Linked DNA regions of Drosophila melanogaster. The protein of the gene in region 2 interacts with the protein of the main gene of each other region in a pairwise test. Each region holds a gene or a part of one and is shown on either strand. Other genes may lie near its edges.

Region 1 (4,386 bases), on a different chromosome or scaffold from region 2:
GGCAATCAATATGCATAAAATAGCAATCTCTCATTGTTTCGAATATATTAAACGAGTTTTCCCAGCACGGTGTGTGTGTGTGTGTGTGTGTGTGTGGAAATGGAAGTGGATATAACAACAGCTTGACAGTTGGATAAGGTCGTGTAAAATTGATGTGAAAGCTGAATAGAGCGCATTGGTAAACTGATAAATCACATATAATTGTTAACAGTCATAGAATTTGAAGCTAATAAAGTTTGAACGAAACCGGTTTCCAAGCGAAAATAATTATTTAGCTAACACGCTCCTAAATTATGCGATTAAGGCAGTTCAAATAAATAAATGTGAGGCTATTAAATTAAATCCAATGGAAGTGACTTTATAGCCGATAACTATTTTTATTATTCAACCGGGTAAAGAAATTGTGAATAAAAAAAATTATTGAATATATAATAAATTTTATGCAAATACGTTTATTGAATATATTTGTTATAATCATATCGGTATAACTTGTTGTCTTCTGCAACTGCTGATAAACATTCTTTATAAATAAAATGAGTAAATACTGTTTAGATACAAAGACGAATGCTTTTATTTGATAGTTTTTGTAAAATTCCTTTCATTTACATTTGAAAACATTGATTAGAATCGATTTACAAATACAGTTGTGATACTATCGCCATCATTGTAGGAGGAGTATGGAACAACTGATTGCATAACTCCAAGCATTCGATTCCACAGAATTCTCTTTGCATCTCTGCCCCAGACCAGATCGAAGTGGTTAAAGTTTTCATTCGGAACGAGATACTTTTCCACCACATTGGGCAACCTGTTGAAAAGCATGTCCACATCTTCCGGCGGAGCTATCCAATCGTTTTTGGCATAATAGATTGCCACCTTGGCCTTGACTTTCTCCAGTTCATAAGGCGGTGGGGACAGGCTGCCATAATGCAGGAAGTTCAACAGTCCGTAGTCAAACTGCTGGAATTTCCCAGAGTTCCTCAGCTGGCCGTAGTGGTGCATCTGCCTGATGGATGCACCGGCCGGAGTGTGACCCACTACGATCGGCAACATCGTTTGGTTCACTTGCTGGCCATTGAAACCGAAAAGAATAAAGAAGAGACTCTGACAGACACTGCTGGAAATGATATCCCGGCAGGCATAACGCTTGAACTGATCAATCACACTGTTGCTGGGCAGGAACTCATTGTAGCCAGCCGCGCTTAGGAAGGACTAAAACCAGATATTAGTTAAAATGTATAAAAGTGTAAACAAATCTTAAACGTACGGCAACTGCAGTATCCTGAGAGGCCAACAAATTCACAATGGGACTACGGCAATGGGACAGGAAGGCCACTGGAGCCAATGCCTGCATCATAACGATCTTTTCCATGTACTCTGGTCTTTCGCTGGCCAAAATCCAGAAGATAGTTGATCCCTGGGAGTGACCAATGTAGTGCAACTGACCGAATCCAGATTGCATCAGTATGTAATCAATGATGGCAGGCAGATCGAAAATGCCCATCTCATGGAACGAAAAGTTCCAGAAATCGGAGTCTTCGGCGGAGTAACGAACATGGCGTTTCGTATAGGTATTACCCCGCACATTGGCCATCCAGACGTCGTAGCCCTGCTCGTACAACATGTATCCTTTGGAAGAAAATCATTCTGAGTGCACTTAAAAAACGAATGAAATTCGATTGTACCTAAGGAACTGGAAGGACCCATCATCACCCAGGTATCGGAACTGTCCATTAGTCCGTGGACCAGCAGCACAGGCAGGGCTCCAGGACGTGCGATCCTGAAGAGTCCCAATAAGTAGCCATCGTCACTCTGCACTGTGTAATTCTCCGCCGGGTATCCATATTTGGAAATCAATTGTATCTGCAAAAACAGGAGAAACAAACACGGCTTAATATAACTATTCGCTAGAGATTTGCCCTTAAATACTTTGAGTGTACGTAGTATTGAGTGTACGTAGTATTTAGAATACATGAGATTATAAAACTATGACCAATCAGCGAGTAATCCGACCTTTATAGTAAGAGCTATAACCTAGAAAGCTATATATGTACTTACACTCACACAAATTGTGTCTATATCTACAGATGTTTTATAAGTCGAAATATAATGCACTATATTAATCTAGATTTTTAGATCTGGATAAACTTCCTATGCTTTATTCCAAATGTTACTAATCGTTGGAACCCGAATGATTTTTGAACTTACCGTATTCAAGTGTGCATCTTCTAAAACTGATGAAGGTATAGCCAGTTGAAAAGGATTGAAAAATGCATTGGCTTCCAGCTGGAATAGGCCCAAAAAGAAGGTCCATATAAGAAATTTCGAAGACGATGATAGAGACATCTGACTTTATTAGAGACAAACTTTACTAATCCGATGTATACAAGTTCCAAGTGGAAACTGAAGCAAGTAAAATTTTGGGATACTAAAAAAGATTGTACGTAGGCAATAAAAGTGCAACACTTTAACCTATGAATAAAATTTACATTTACCGCTTGGGTCTCAACTTAAATACTTTCGGAAATAAATATCATTCATGTAACTTAAGCAAAAAGTTTGTTGCTTAGCAAAATCGAATTAAAAGATATATACTAATTTTCATATCAAAAAATAGGAATAGAAAAGATGGGAATTAATATTAAAAATGTATTAATTGTAAGTTGTTTTTATTGGCTTTTATCGTTGTAAAATTGTTGTAAATCGTCTTAGTTTCTACTAAACAATAAATACCTAACTAATAATAATATACTGTGAATAACTAAATTATAACCATAGTTCTATTCCCCTTTAGATAATTGAATTCTCATGATTTCGCATTATTTCCAGCATTCGATCCCACAAAAGTTCCCGGGCATCGATGCCCCAAATGAAATCCAAGTGGTTGAACTCCTTGTCGTCCACCAGATATTTCTCCACGACATTGGGCAGCTTGCGGTTCAGCATTTCCACATCCTCCGGCGGAGCCAGCCAATCGTTTTGGCCATAATATAGTGCCACCTTGGCCCGAACATTCTCCAGGTGGTAGGATGGCGGGTCAATGGTTCCGTAGATCCAGTGGTTTCTGAGCCATCCGTGATCATACTGCCGGAAACCGCCAGATCTGTTGAGCTGTCCAAAATGCTGCATCTGCTTGGTGGAGGCTCCGGCCGGAGAATGACCCACGATTACCGGCAGCATAGTCTCGTTCAGCTGGAGCTTGTCGAATCCGGTGGTCAGGAAGATGACGTTTGAACAAATCTCTTTCGTAATAGTGGTCTCGTCGCAGATGATCCGGTTGAACATGCTGATGAACTCATTCTTAGGCAAAAACTCGTGAACGCCAATCAGCTTGAGGACCAACTAAAATATTAAAATAATATAAGTTAACATGAACAAATTGAATGAGAAGAGAAGGAGAAAGATGTTTTGCACTGGATCGTGTTTATAATAAACAATGATTAAATTTACATTAAATTTGGATGTATTCCACTGCAAAAACGCTCTTTGAAAGGATGGGATAATTAGGATGGGGTAACTTACGCTCACCGATAGATGCCACTCGGCCAGGAAGTTGACCACCGGACTGCGGCAGTGCTTGAGGAATGCCACCGGTGCCAATCCCTGCATCAGAATGATCTTGTCCATATACTCGGGCTTCTCGCTGGCCATGATCCAGAACACAACGGTTCCCTGGGAGTGACCAATGTAGTGCAATTGGCTTACGCCCGTGGAATTGAGGATGTAGTCCATTGTGGCGGGTATATCATGCTTTCCCATCTCGTGGAATGTAAAGTCCCAGAACTTGGCATGGTGGGTGCTATACTTAACATGCTTTCTCGAGTACGTATTGCCACGAACATTGGCCATCCAGACATCGTACCCCTGATCGTAGAGCAGGTAACCTTTGGAACAGAGCAACGCAATCAGCATGGGACATTTGGAGATAGCCTATGATCTTACCAAGTCCCTTGTTCGGTCCCATCATCACCCAAGTGGCTGAGCTATCCAGTAGTCCGTGCACCAGAAGCACTGGCGTTGCTCCCGGTCTAGCGATCCTGTGCAAGGTGAGGATGTATCCATCATCCGTCTCCAAGGTGTGATTCTCCGCCGGGTAGCCGTACTTTTTTATCAGACTGTACTGCAGAAGGGAAAAGAGACGAGGTTATTACAATTGTACTAAGAACAACAAATTTTCTAAGTGTAAGTTTCTATCAGCGTAATCGTTAATTTAACGATTAAATTGATATGTCAATTTTCAATAATGTAATTACTTTTCTTAATTATTAGGGAGAGGTACGAAAATCAAAAAGCTTCCTATACAAACGTAATATCGTAAAAATAAAGCGATGACAACATCTGACTAACTTTTAAACGTATACATTAACACATTTTAGCAGCAAATAT
Region 2 (4,395 bases):
CGAAATACCAGGGCTGCAGACGTACTGGCAATCACCACCAAAAGCAGGAACCAGTTCGTGACGTAATCTGAAGCAGCTGTTCAGTTGTCCAGGAGTCGGTGGAAATTACGAGGTGGGTAAAATCGTATTTTTTGACTGAAATGACCGGACTCACAGAGCCAAGGGGTTTCAGATGCGCGTACCCGGAGCCCTGTTTGCCGCGCGCGGCCGAGCGCCTCAAAGCGAGAAGGACGTGCCCTTCCAGGAGATTCTGCCTCTGCGGCTGAAGAACACCGTGAGCGGGAAGGCGGACTCCGGATCCGATGTGGCCTGTCTCCAGGAGATGGGCGTGCTGTTCGCCTGCTTGAAAGACAACGAATTCGTGGAGAAGTACTGCCACAAGGAGATCAGCCAGTTCCAGAACTGCTACAAGTGCTACATGGACCGTAAGTTTGAGGCGAAGAAGACCGTGAACCAGGGAATCGTCCAACCGGGCAGCAACCTGAACTACAAGCAACTTAACAAGTACATGCGCCGCTACCCCAATCCCGTATAGCTTTACATAGTTCAAGTTGTTTAATAATACACTATTTACAATGTACGCAGCAGCATTGATTCGTCAGTAGACCACGTCGGCGTCTCCCAGCCCGGCCGAGGATTGGCTGACCGGCGAGGGCTGGCTGAGCACGAAGTTGGGCATGGCACGCAGGAACTGCGGATGGGAATGAGAGTGCTGCGCCTCGTACAAGTCTGACAGAAGCGGCGGCTTCTCGCGAACCCGACTGAGCAGATCGGACATCTGCCTCGGTTTTGGGACGGTGGGTGTCGGCACAGCCAAATTAATGTGCAGTGGGTAGCCGCCGTGCTCCCAGGTGTCGGCCAGAATCTGGAGGCTGCGATTGGCCTCAAAAACGCGGGCGCGTTGAAAGTTTAGCCTTTCTTGCTGCAGTTCAGACCACTGATCCTGTGCGAAAATCAGGAAAGGGGTAACTATTAATTACAAGCTAGAGGACTACTTACAAATCGGGTTCCTAAACGGCCGAAATACTTTATCTGCTCCTGTACATTGAGCACCTGCATCATATACCAATCGCGTGCCTTCTCCACGCCATCGAGTCCGAAAAGAAGCAGTTCCCGCTGCTCCTCCAATTGCTTCAGTCTTTTTAGCATGTTGTAATCGATGCCGTGTTGCAGAGTGTGCCTCCGCGACTCTCTGCGCTTGCTGCTGGTCTTCTTGGGCACAGCCGGAAGGGCCAGGCTCCAGTCGGTGGCCGAAGCAGAGGTGGAGGAAGAGCCACCGTCAGCCGATCCACGGTGTTCGAATTGTTCCCGCGACTGCGTCGTTTTTGACTTTCCTGCGTCCGCCATCAGGTTCAGTTGCCAGTTTTGGAGGGCATGGCGAATGTCGTCTTTACCCAGAGCAGGGGACTTGGGTACCTGTCGTGGAGGTTTTGGCGGCGGAGCAGGAGAATGGAACTCCATCTCCGGAGCAAGAGTTCCGTGGGAACGAGGCCGCAACTTCAGGTCTTCCACAGCGTTTTGCTGATTGCGGAGCAGGCACAGCTTGAGGCCGGCGCAGAACCGCTCGAAGGAGAGAAGTCCGCTACTGGGAGTGACCCGACGGAGTGAGTCCACAACTCCGCGTGGCAGTCCCTTGGAGCCATCATCCTGCCAGCCCTTCTCGATGTCCGTGAAGCGCACGTATCCGGTCTGCTTGTCATCTAAGATGTCGAAGAGCTTTTTCATGGACAGGACGAACTGCTTAGGCAGCGTATCCAGTTCCCAAAATTGCGACTGCCCCTGTGGATGGCTGCCTCCCACATCGCCTATGCTTAGGTTCAGCAGACTGGTACTGGTATTCTTGTTCTGGCGGAGCATCTTCGTCTGCGGATGGCGCAAAATGGAAAGTGGGATGAGATTATGAATCGTATAGTCCCACGCTTGGCACCAATGCATAACTTATATTAATAGGAGCTCATTTGCATGGGTAACTCCAAATGGAATGTGTGTGAATCTGGCACGCTGCCTTAGGACTGAATCTCTGAGCTAAGATATTTCCCACTTATTTACAAGCAGTTTTAACAAATTTATTTTTATAAAATCGTCTAGTCGCCACACAAAATTACTTGATTTCAAACTCTACAATTTTATTTAAATGGGCTCAACTGAGACGTGCAAATGAATGATTTTGTTAGTTTCTTGCCTTCAAGTACCAAGTTTACTCAATGTTATTATCGCAGCTGCATCTGTACCTTAGTCCACTTTGGTTGCTTATTTTGTTTATAAACAAAGAGACGGCCCTCCATTTGGCTGACTTACCCAAGCTATGCGGAAAATTGGCTCCTGAAATCCGAGTCCGCGGCTCGTCTGGCAGCCTTTTGAGGCCGTTCGTCAAGGCTTCTGCGCAAACTCTGCAACTATTCTGTGTATGTAATGCAGCTCGGTCGCTTGGATCCCCGGCCAAAACACCCAAAGCCAACCAACTGGTTATATTGACTGCACACTAGATCAGCGGCCGAGGTTTTGGGCCCGAGTCTCGCACGCATGCGCAACTTGCGCGACTGGTTTCTGTGGGTTTTCGGTGGATCTTCCAACACAAGCGCAGCTGAGAGAGTTCCAGGAGGCTAACACACACAGGCTAGGCCAATACCACATCGCAGTCTCAGCAAAGTGCCGAATAGAGAGGCTCTCTTATGATTAGGTAGAAACGTATTTATTAGTAGAAATGCACTGCTCTTGGCTTAATCAGTCGAAAGAGGGAGCTAACCGCCTAGGTTAAGATTGTATCTGGTAGATGCACGAACTGCAAACTCTGCGTGATCCGTATAGGGCTGTGGGGCACCCGGGTGGATTACTAGAATGAGCCTTTCACCTCAAAGTTGTGTTCCTCTAAAGGCTAGAACTTAGTCTTATTCTAAGGATTTCCTTCGAAAATCCTGTCCAGGAAGTGTTCACAACTCGGCCACCGACTTCCGGCGCACGTACTTGGCGAAGTAGTCCGGGCGCCAGCACTTGCAAGAGCCGGGGATGAGGAACCAGTCGTAGTAGAGACGCACCTGGAAGCAGCCCAGTTCATCGTGTCCATCGCAGTGGGCGTCCACCTGCGCCGCGGGGCCGGCTGCTCCAGACGAGGTTCCGTCGGAGGCGGTAGCCACGCCTGCCCTCTTCTGCAGGTACTGCTGGTAGGCCTGGAAATCCTGCACAGAAGGGGCCTGAGTGGTGGTCGAGCTGGTGGGCACTGTGTCCTCCGCATTGGGGTAGAAGATCTCCGCCACCAACAGGCTTACCCAGCGTGGTGACGACAAGCAACCGCCGTCCAGGTAGTGACAGCGTGCCTGAATGCAACGCGTCACCTCCACCGTCTGGGTGAAGTAGCCCTCATAGGGAATCTGGACCACATAACGCCAGGCGCCTTGGTAGTTCTTAGCGAAGACGGGAGTAGCGTACTCTACCTTGGCGGGACAGGGAGTGGGAGGACCCTCGTACCGGATGGGACCCACCTCCTCGCGCCTTTCCGCAGTGGGCGTGGCAGGGGCTGCTCCTCCGGTGTCTCCCTGAATTGCCCTGTATAAGGTGCAAAATCTGTGGGTGGAGTTAAAAGTTTAAAAATCTTTTATTAATTGACCTGCACGCAGTTGTGTCGTCAAAATGCTAAGCAGTTGAATACCCCATGATGTACTCCTCTCTTAACCTATTCTACAATATCTATGGATGTCGATTAAAGTGTTGAGCTTCTTTAGTTGTATGGCTTTACATTATGATGTGGAAAGTGAAATGACAAGCTCATTTGGGTTCTTTGCCTTGATAATTCTTCGAATCTATAATTTTATAAAGATGACTCATAATTTTTAAGTGGTGACCTCTTTAGCTTTATATGCGCGCCTTTCCCGTGCTTTAAGAAATACGATATATTTATCTTTCATTTATGTAGCAGTTAAGATTGGAATAACTCTACTCCCCCGTTTCCATGCTAAAAACTTACACTCCACCGCCATCGCAGAATTTCCTTGGCTTCCTCTCCTCGGCGGCCCTTCTCTGCTGGTTATTCCGATCCCTTTGCTTGTGTTGCTCCTCCTCGTCCAGGGCGGGATCGAAGTAGCTGTACTCGTTGGACTCCACGCCCTCCGGCAGGCTGCGGCGGACGCGAGTGGAACCTCCTGCGGGATAGGGCCTGTCGATGTTGTTGCTGTCCAGCTGTTCCACGGGTTCATCTCGAATGATCTGGGTGACCTTGGGTAGGGTATCGTCGGCCTTTAGAACGGGCAAAGTTTTCGAAAGGAACTTCAGCGTTTGGTTGCGAATAAGTTCGCTGTGGAGGAGGTGTACATTAGAGATGTCTGAAATTTGTTACGCAAATATTTTCACCTACAAGGGATAGGGCTCCCCGAGTACATTTTGTCCCAGCGGATTCTTGGG
Region 3 (5,152 bases), on a different chromosome or scaffold from region 2:
TGGGTGGTCCTTTCGACCCGATGAGATAGCGCCTGCTCCACTTGTCCACCGGCTTGTACGACATTATTTGACTGGAAATGTGGAACAGCCTGGAAGTGGTGGGAAAATATGGGCATTTCTTTGTTTTAGCCCCACTATTGTCGATCTTGTTTTGTTTGTTGTCAAAGGCTTGTTGAAAGAGGTGTTTGAAGGTGTGCACCTTAATGCTACATTAATTGCCCTTGTTGGCACTCGAGCGATAAACATCGGTACAAATATTTGATTTTAGTTCGCTACAAGTGCGTAAATAGTGTAAGTACAAGAGTGGAATCAAAGCGGTAGAAAGGTAGAAAGGGTGAGAAAAACGTTTTGGAAAATTCTTGAATTTTGAAATGAACAACAGGCCTTTGGAAACTCAAACAACTCAAACTCCATACCCGTGGTAAAATTCTAGAATATTCAAATTATAATACAACTAACGTTCTTTTTAGTCTCAAGAAAACCTTTCTATAACCATAAGCCCAAGTCAACAATAAAAAGCCATGTGCACAATTTCCTTTAAGCTATTGTCTTTTATTCGATCGTACATTAAGAGTCCACAATTTAACTTAATATCTAACGTTAATTTACGCAAAGTCAAACTTTCCTGCTATGCTTACGTCACAAATATCCAAGGCTTAAACCAAAGTAGCTAAGGCTAAACTTACACTAAACTAAATGCTGTTTAGTCGTACTAAGATTACGATTACGAAATGGAGGGATTCGTATTCATGAGAGCTGCAATTGAGATTTTATTTTATTGAGTGGGTATCAAAGAGTGAGGAATCAGCTGAGGAAGATCAATCGCTGACGGCCACCAAATCTCTGGAGGATGCTGCAGTACTGGCGGAGCCCGTGGGCAAGCCCAACTCCGAGCTGGAGCTGGAGCCGGAGCCAAATGGATCACTTAGGTTGCCACCCACCACACCGCCCACTCCGGCGGACAAGTTATGCGTCAGGCTGTGACGTCGCAAGTCGCAGTTCCGCCGGAAGACTTTCCCGCAGGAGGCGCAGTTGTACGGCTTGATGTCGGTGTGGGTGAGCAGGTGGGTCTTCAGATTGGAACGCTGGTTGAAGGAGCGATTGCACACGGGGCACTTGTGCGGCGACTCCTCCATGTGCAGGATCTTGTGGACAGCCAGAGTGCGGGACTGACAGAATCCCTTGCCGCACTCCGCGCACTTGAAGGGCTTCTCCTTGGAGTGGATATATCTGCGGGTTACCAAAATGAATGAGGAGAATGGTGGGTTAGATTTTTATGGAAACCAAATGCTAGTCTTTTGTGACAGAGTGATTCTCAAGAGAAGGATCATTTCTTATTATACCATGAAGTAGCTTATCCGCTATTTTTGACCTACCTATGATCCCTCAGATGATCCTGCCTCCTGAAGGCCTTGCCGCAGATGTCGCAGGAGTAAGGCCTCTCGTCCGTGTGCGTTCTTTCGTGGATGAGCAGATTGTAGGACTTGGTGAACTGTCGGTTGCAGAATTTGCATATGAACTGCTTCTTGGACCGCTGGGCTGCCGCTGCCGCCGCCGAGCTGCCCGCCTCCTCCAGCCCTCCTACCGCACCTGCACCTACGCCGCCAGCCGCTCCCGAAATGACACTCATCTTGTCCTGGTACATGGTGGCCTGCAGCGAGTGCAGAGCCGAGTCCGTTTCCGCCTGGCTGAAGGCTGAGGGATTAAACATGAAGCTTCCATAGCTGCTGTCCAAATCTCCCGCCTCGAAGGAGAGAGCATCCTCGCCATCGAGCAACGGTAAGTCGCACTCTGCTGCCAGTTCTGCGGCTGTTGCGCAGTCCAGCGCCGCCTGTTGGCTCGCAGCAGCTGCTGCGGCAGCCGCAGCAGCCGCCACTGCAGCACTAACGGTGCCAATGGAGGGCAGAGGCACGCACTTGGATGTTGTTGGTGTGCTGGTGGAGTTGCTGTTGTTGCTGCTGGGCGAGGATGTGGCGGCAGCTGATGCTGTCGCTGCCGTCAAAGGGGGTTCCCCCGAGGAGCTGGAGGAGCAGCTCGACTTGAGCTCTATATTGGCTATATCGATGAGCGAGGGTAAGGCATTGTTGTCCGCTTCACTGCTGCTGCTGTTGCAGGTGGTGGCGTTGTTGCTGTTGCTGCTGCCGGTGTTGCTGTTGGAAAAGCGAAATACATCCGATTTCCCGGTTAGTCGCTGCAGCGCCAAATAGGATTCCAGGGCCTGGAGATTAAGAGCTGCTGCTGCCGCCGAATTGGCCGGCAGTAGGGCGGCCTGCTGCAAACTGCTGACCATGGTTCCTTGCAGCGAAAGAACGACCGCAGCAGCCGCTGCAAGATCGTTGGTTGCTGCGGCCGCCGTTGCTGTTGCAGCTGCCATGGCTGCGTTGCTGGTCTTACTGCCGATCGGCGATGTTGCAGCGGTGCACTTGTTGCCGTTGCTGTTGCAACTCTCGCTTTTCTTGTGCGCTGCTGTGGCTGTTGCTGCGGCACTTGGCTTGTGGTTGTTGTTGCTGTGGTGCTTCGATGTTGCTGCCTTGCTAGCTGATGATGCTGCTGCTGTTGCGCTTGCCTTGAGTTCTCCAAGCGCCTCGGCAATATCGCTGCTTGCTGCCGGTGAGGCTGCTGCCTTGGCCGGCGAATCGCTGCAAGTTGCAGCTGCAGCTGCAGCAGCAGCAGCGGCACTCAAATGCTTAACTGCCTCCATAAAAAAGTCGAATCCACGCACACACTCAGCTGGATATCGGGATAAAGCCTCGGGCCAGCGATGTTGCTGTGTTGCTGGTTGCCGTGGTGATTTTTTGTATTTTTTATTGTTTGGCGCACCTACGCAGGTTGAGAGGTTCGGAGCGCGTCCACATGAATATTAAAAACCACACGCCATCATAAATCACGTCTTAGTCACGCTTTCAAAAGTCATAAAAATCGAATTTGACGTCTGGCCAAAAACGAAAACAACAAAGTGCAGTCTCAGCCAAGTTAAGTCAAATTGGCAGGCACGCTTTTTCGATTTTTTCGACTGAAATAATATGGTAGTTCTTCTGGCTAGCACACGCGAACAATTTGGGTACAATCGATCTTTAAAATTATGTGCAGTTACTATTAGTTAACTTCCGTTTAATGCAACTTCCGGTCTTAGCCAACACAGACACATACACGTGTTGAGCTATGTATATATATATGTACGTATATATAATATTGTTTATTTTCTCTGATTCTGCCAGTTCTTCTTCTTCTCTTGACGTCGATCAGCCGTCGCTGCACACAATATTGGTAAAAGATCACGGAATAACTAAAAGTCCATTGCTCTGCGGACATATCGCGGACCTGCGCTCACTTGTTGATCGCCACATCTCTCTCGCCATTGGCGATCGCTCCCTGCGAGAGCGGATGAGAGCGTGGCCCACAAGATCACCCACGAAAAGAGCGAGCGGAGAGCGGGAGAAATTCAGGTTGGCCAGGTGCAAACTCGTTTTGTCTGTGTATTCTGAGCACCTTTACTCCCGCTCTCACCCACACACGCGCATTTAAATCAGAGGTAGAGCGAGAGCGCGTGCAAGGTGAGAAAGAGAGAACCGGTTTCTGTGGTTAATATGCCTGATTTTGATTTTGATTTTGAGTGGGTGTTTTGCCCACCCTCTCTTTCCCTCCTGGTCGTGCCATCTCTTTCTCGCCCATCGTGCCAGCTCCCTCTTGTCTGATAATATTCGTTTATTTATATAATTTTTGCAAGTAGTTGTTTATGATTCTTTCTAGGAAATTTCGCAAGCTTTGCTAAGTACTTTTAACCTTGGAAACTGAAGAATTTTGACGGATAATTAAAGGTTTTAAATATAGATTTAGGCACAAGTAACAGATGCAGCTTACATTATGAACTTGCCAATAAGAAGAAATCTCATATTATAGCTATTTTTACAAGTTATTCATACGAATAATTTATTACTATATCAAGAAAACATTGTATAGAGGGAAGAAAACTTTAAGCGAACATCCCTTAATTCACTAAAATCAAATGTGATCGGCGGCCATAAAAGGATTGCGATCGCCTGATAAGGAATTACAAGCCAGATGTTTTCTAGACATCTAAGGAAACCGTGGAGTTCCTAGTAAGGAATATGGAACAATGGTCTAATCTATTAAATATTAACGATCTTAAAAGGCTTTGGATTGGCGGTCAGATTGAAACACCTTGAGATGGTTTCCTGGAAATTATTACACTTAAAATCCATTTGCAATAGTGGAGATTTTTCCGAGTGCATCAACCTGCTAGCACTTGCAAATTGTGGCCATTAGTCAACGCGTTGATTTCTTCAGCCCCAAGCGCAGCCAGTTGATTGAAATGATTCTCATCGCACGCCATCTCATCGCCGCAGAATCGCAGACGAAAGAGCGAGAGAAGAATGCTGCCAGAAGAATCAAAAATACGCTGGCACAGCAAACCCAATCACAATTCGAATCACAGCCGCAATCATAGCTGAGACTTTTCAACTGTCAATTATTTCCTTATTCTTTATGCAAAGCCCCCAGACGCGAGTGTCCAGTGGGGGAACTCGGACTTAATGCGCTAAACGGCCCAAGTAAATGACCAATAATCATGGGAGCTGCCAGCTCTCCGGCTGCCGGTTGGTTGGCCACGAAATAAGCAGGAAAAAACTGCTGGAAAGAGCCAGTCCAGCACCGAGTGCAATTTATTTTTGCATTAAATTGCAATTTGGACCGGACTCTCAGTTTTCTACCATTTATACAGATATTATCGTGATTAATAATGCACAAACATGTCATACGCTCGTTTCGTGTGTGTTTGATTGGAGCGCATTAGGATCGCGGCATTTAATGATCCGGGAGTCTGGAGTCTGGAGACCAGAGATCCTCAGTCCCACGGTAGCAATTATGTCGCTTAGTGGCCGGCTTACGGATGATGATGATCGTCGCGAGGATGATCTCTTGCTGGAGATTGCTGGATCCCTGGATCATCCTGAATGGCGGCGCCATCAAAAGATCTGCAATCGGGATTGCGCATTCCAAGGCAAGCTCAGTGGTATTGACACAAGCTTCCTTTAAATGAAAGCCTCGGCTTAATGTCGTTATATTTCGATAGTCGCGCTTTTAAATGCTCGTTTCCTGTGCCGCCTCAATCGGAGGTTCTCCTCTTCAGGGA
Region 4 (4,827 bases), on a different chromosome or scaffold from region 2:
ACGCGTTGGAGAGCCCACCCATGGAAAACTAACGATAATCAATTGAGAAATGTTTATAATGAAGTGGCGCAGCCAAAGGGTTCTCAACCACAACGCTAAGCTCTACACTGCAACTGGAGTGTGAGTGTGAACTGAATTTATGGTACATAAATCCTATGTACATTTAGAAGAATTTTATGTGCCTCGACCAAAAGAATTTTGAATAGAAAAAAGAATTTCCTGACTATATATCGTTAATATTTTAAAGATATGCATTTTATTTCCAGTGCAATTTCCGCGTTATAGTGAGTAGCCTGGCGTTAAGCACTTCATTTCGCCATCAGTCCTTCTTTAAGCCCTTTCCTCCATTTTTCGTTGGGGCGTGTCGGCTAAAAACGCCTAGCCAGCAATCTACTGATAGCGTGTATGCCAAACGCTCATTGACCAGCCCCAAACCGACCGCCCACATCTCCGGGTTTTCCATATTCTCCCTTACTTCCCGACAAATGTGCTAAGTATACGTTGGCCAGAGAGATAAACATGGCCAACACACATAGGCGGCTTGCACATGTGTGTGTGTGTGTGAGTGAACCACACTCATGACAACGTCCATCATAATTCATTGGGTATTGAGCTGGGTCCTGCGGCTGGGCAAGGACCCTTTAGCTGCATTGTAATGAAATTAGCATGCACAAGACAATGTTGCCAGTCGCGCATTCAGCGATAATTGAGTTTAGAATTAGGGATACTCTAAGAGCACTGGAAAAAAATTAAAAATTATTTGAACCCATTTGTAGACAACTTCACTTCATATTCTTGACTTTAATGTACGATGCAATATTTTATTCTTTGAATCTTGAAACTTTAAGTGGCAACATATAAGATGTATCTTAAAGTTTACAGCAGTTTTTTCTTACTATTCAAAGTACACTATTTTGTTCGCAGTAAAGCTTCGCTATTTAAAAAGGGCAGGGCATTGAAATGCAAATGCAAATGCAGTCAGTCAGTCAGTCCGATGGACAGAGAGACTGACAGGAAACGGGTCGCAGCTTCGTGGGCTCAGCTGGGTTAATTTCAGTCCAGGTTAAACCGGGATGACACCGCCGCCAAAACAAAGACACGCCTCGGGCAGCACAGTGATCCTCCACCGGTAGGAGCCAGGAACTTGGAAATGGAAACTGTGGGAGCTGGCAACTTGGAAACAGAAGCCGGGTGCCGCACACATGGCAACCTATTTTCAAAAGCCGCTGCCGCATCTAATTTATGCCAAGAGCAATCGCAACTGCCAATGCCGACTTATAAACGAGGTGAACTTTTCGCTCTGGCCAGAAGTTCAGAGGGCAATAAACTACGCGGCTTGTTTATTGTTTTAGCCTGAATGAGCTTAAAGCAGGAGTGCCTTCTCTTGCTGAATTTAAAACTGTTTTGGTGTGATATGGTTTAGTATTCAATGGTTAAATGGGTGGAACGGAATTTTATGACTCGATTTGACACGCATATTTGCGTACTTAATGGGAGAAATAGCTAGGAAATATAAGAACCCAACAATGTCTTAAAATGTCAAGCGATCCACCTCACATTTAAGAGCAATAAATATTGCGGAAAGTACATACTTTATTTTCACTCCTCCTTTACTGCTCCCTTTGCGAAAGGATTTAGATAATTTTATTTAAACATTTTCCCAGTGGTCGAAGCATTATCTGATCTCTTTTCAATTGAGTTTATCTCTCGCCTTTTCCCCGCTCCAAAATCAACAATCCAAACGTTTTGTCGACGGTTTTGGACTATCGGTCCGCTCCACCAAAAAGGACTCCACCCATCGGGAATACAAAACCTCCTGGCAAGTGTCACTTAAAGGCATATCGTTTGTATTTTTCTGCCCCGAATTCTTTTTGCACCGAAACTGCAATTCGAGAAATGCAGCCAACGGTTTTTCCGCCAGCACCAAAACACTTTTCTTTCCTTCATTTCGGCTCTCAGTCCCTTCCAACGCTTTCAATTTGTGTGTACATAAATTTCGAAATGGACTTCTCGTGTTGGGGCGCCCGACAGCAGCACAAAAAAGAAACGTGTTTAAAAAAAATGCAAACAGAAATACAAAAGTCGGGGAAAATAAATAAAAATGGAGTGGAGTGAAGTGGACCAGTGCGGAGCGGAGCGGAGAAAGCCCAAAAGAAATGGCGAGCGGAAAGAAGTGGCCATGAATGCAGTGACAAGAACAACAACAGCGACAGCTGGAGATAGTATTCCCTTGTTCCATGGAAAAACTGCATAAATATCGCTACAAGGACCCTGGACAAACGCCAATCGAAAGTTGCGTTGGCTGGCCGAAATGAATGTACGAGTCTCGTTTCAAAAACTTAGAAGTGCATAAATTGGGCCTGTGAATTTAAATACTATATATATATATATATTTCAGCGAACTCTCGAAGTGCCACAATGTGGGCCAAATTCTTAGCATTCACCTCGATGGTTGTATAACTTCATGTCTTGACGAAAAGGGCGAAGCTTTTCCTTTGATTGTGTGGCGATTTCGTTGGCCAATGGAGCATGAAATTACTGAGGGGTGTGCCGCCGGCAAAGGGGGGGGGGGGCTGTACTTGTGTGAACATGGAAAACGCTCACATAACCAGGCAAAAAATACACTCAGAAAAAGAAAATCTCACAAGCATCAATTCAGAACATGCTTTCCTGGATGAAACTGTTTAGAATGTAATTTTTAAATCCCCAGAGATTAGCTCTAGTGGTATTAATTATAAAATGGAAATCTACTAATAGTTATATCTCTTACCTAAAAGTAAAAAAAAGTGTTAAATTTCAACCATCTTACTTGTTCAAGTGCACCAAGGTTCGAATGTTACAATCTTCATACCACTTAAGACTGCGTCGCGTTCTGCTCGAGTGCAAAGGGGTAACGATTGAAGATTGAACTCAGGAGTTCAGGAGCAACTGAGGCAGTCGAAAGTCACACCAATTGCGATTGACTGGGATTCCGGAAGGTGTCCATCGGGCGTGACACTGGCGGTGAGTGAAACTACATGTGTGGGAAGCCCAAAGGAAATACATTGAACAACCAGAACAATTAACTAATAACACAAAGAGCAATCATATCAATGCGATACGCCAGTGAAACCGATTTCCACAGTCCACATTACTAATTGAAAATACTCGTGACGGAATCCGATAACCGATGGCATCCAAATGCTGGCCATAAAGGGTGAAATCGCTCGTTAGCCCTCCACATGACCGTTAAGTGTCTCTGCCCAGCCTGATTCCTGGAACCCAACCGCCATATGCTTATATGGCATGACTGTGGGCTGAGCGCCCCAGTGTCATCATTACCATGACTAGGATTACGATTACTGTCATCGTCGTGTCATCACAAACACACGCAGACTTAGCGAGCGTCTTTATGGCTTTTGGCGTTGAAATGATAAGTAAAGTTTTTGCAGAACGTAGCGAACATTTTCCGGACATGGGGCTTATGTCCATGCTGGAAACATATGGCATATTGCCAGGCGAAACATTTAATGGTCTGCAAAATGGCCCGGGCCGGGACATTAAAAGTTGCTTAACCTTCATTAGGCGCCCGATTCCGCATCCGAATCCGACTGACGGCGAGATGAAATTTAATATATGTCAGGTCCCGACATCGGAGGGCTTAATGCCCCATTTGTGCAGGGCGCCACTGCATCCAAATGATGGTGCCAGAAAAAAAAAGCAAATCACCGCAAGTTGGCATGGAGCTTTAATCAGCCCAGCAGGCAAAAGGGCTAGTGGTGGTGGACAGGAGGGGGTGGTATTAAAGGGGCGCAAGGACACTAGGCAAACTCAATTTCGAGCTTGTTTCACGGGACAACGACCACGCCCAACCCGACCCACCAGAGGCGCTAATGCGGCGACATGGCATTATCCTTCTTCCTTTCGCGACTTCTTTCCCGACTTTTCCGACCACGGCTGCACTCTCCTTGGGTATTTTGATAATCAAATTTGCGCAAACAAGCGAGTGGCGTGAATTTGCCAACGCCACCGGAACAAGGACGAAACAAGGACCAAGGATAATAACGGTTGCGCCTCGTGCACTTGTGCAATTAGATTGTCAAAAGTTCAGTAACTTTACCCAAACCGAAGCGCCTTAAATTCTCCATTGTTCTTCTTTAAATTACAGTTTCACTATTTTTGATTTTAGATGGTAATAAAAAAATCAAGTGTATCCTTAAGCTTCTACTTAACATAATTAGTTATTTAAGTTCGATTAAATGAAAAATCCGCAAACCACACACTTGATCTATATCTTGTGTTTGTAACTGGGAAGCTAAGGCAAAAAAAAAAACACTTATTCAATACCAAATCCTGGAATTGTAACAATAAAATGTATTTTCAAGAAGCCCATCAATCTTGCTGTCCCAACTCATTTGCCACTTGTGATGTAACATCGAGAGATAATCCATTTAAAATCGCTTTAATCCATGTGTTATCAATTTCATGGCATTTCATTTGCGAGCCTATAAAAGGCTCCTTTCCGATTCGCTGCTAAAAGTAGTTTCAGAATGCAGTTAGGATTCCTTTACGCATTCGTTGCGCTCTTGGCGATATTTCGAGTGGAACCCAGCGAGGGAATTATTGATATAAACAATCAATTGAACAATATTATAAGCCCCCCGATCCTTCCTGCGGTTGAGAGCATATTGGACATCAATGGCGATGCAGATTCAACAGAAGATGAGCAAAAGGTGCGCTTGCAAAGAGAATCCATTGTAAAAGATTACGGATTCGTGTTTAAACCTCAACCAATAGTCTTGGAAAGTAATTCAAGCTATAAGCCCTCAGTTGAATCTGAAGGACAGG

The links.
Region 1: the proteins of CG3880 (region 2) and CG18301 interact in a two-hybrid assay, tested with the Drosophila melanogaster proteins (one large-scale study listed by BioGRID).
Region 3: the proteins of CG3880 (region 2) and sob interact in a two-hybrid assay, tested with the Drosophila melanogaster proteins (one large-scale study listed by BioGRID).
Region 4: the proteins of CG3880 (region 2) and CG7329 interact in a two-hybrid assay, tested with the Drosophila melanogaster proteins (one large-scale study listed by BioGRID).

Annotation. Positions count from the first base shown.
Region 1 is NT_033779.5:10,529,812-10,534,197, reverse strand, and holds CG18301 (uncharacterized protein), read right to left. Parts: upstream 2,378-4,386; 5' UTR 2,347-2,377; coding exon 2,209-2,346; intron 1,864-2,208; coding exon 1,686-1,863; intron 1,630-1,685; coding exon 1,268-1,629; intron 1,213-1,267; coding exon 622-1,212; 3' UTR 551-621; downstream 1-550. Other genes in the region: Lip4 (lipase 4), read right to left, coding at 2,791-3,342, 3,523-3,884, 3,943-4,120.
Region 2 is NT_033778.4:24,758,750-24,763,144, reverse strand, and holds CG3880 (uncharacterized protein), read right to left. Parts: upstream 2,482-4,395; 5' UTR 2,299-2,481; intron 1,864-2,298; 5' UTR 1,858-1,863; coding exon 1,000-1,857; intron 944-999; coding exon 599-943; 3' UTR 540-598; downstream 1-539. Other genes in the region: CG12848 (uncharacterized protein), read left to right, coding at 173-535; spz6 (spatzle 6), read right to left, coding at 2,931-3,561, 3,962-4,288, 4,349-4,395.
Region 3 is NT_033779.5:3,577,479-3,582,630, forward strand, and holds sob (sister of odd and bowl), read right to left. Parts: upstream 3,292-5,152; 5' UTR 2,702-3,291; coding exon 1,377-2,701; intron 1,231-1,376; coding exon 819-1,230; 3' UTR 535-818; downstream 1-534. UniProt on the Drosophila melanogaster protein: Pair-rule protein that determines both the size and polarity of even-numbered as well as odd-numbered parasegments during embryogenesis.
Region 4 is NT_033779.5:10,635,417-10,640,243, forward strand, and holds the start of CG7329 (uncharacterized protein), read right to left. Parts: upstream 3,056-4,827; 5' UTR 2,810-3,055; intron 1-2,809. Other genes in the region: CG31872 (uncharacterized protein), read left to right, coding at 4,530-4,827.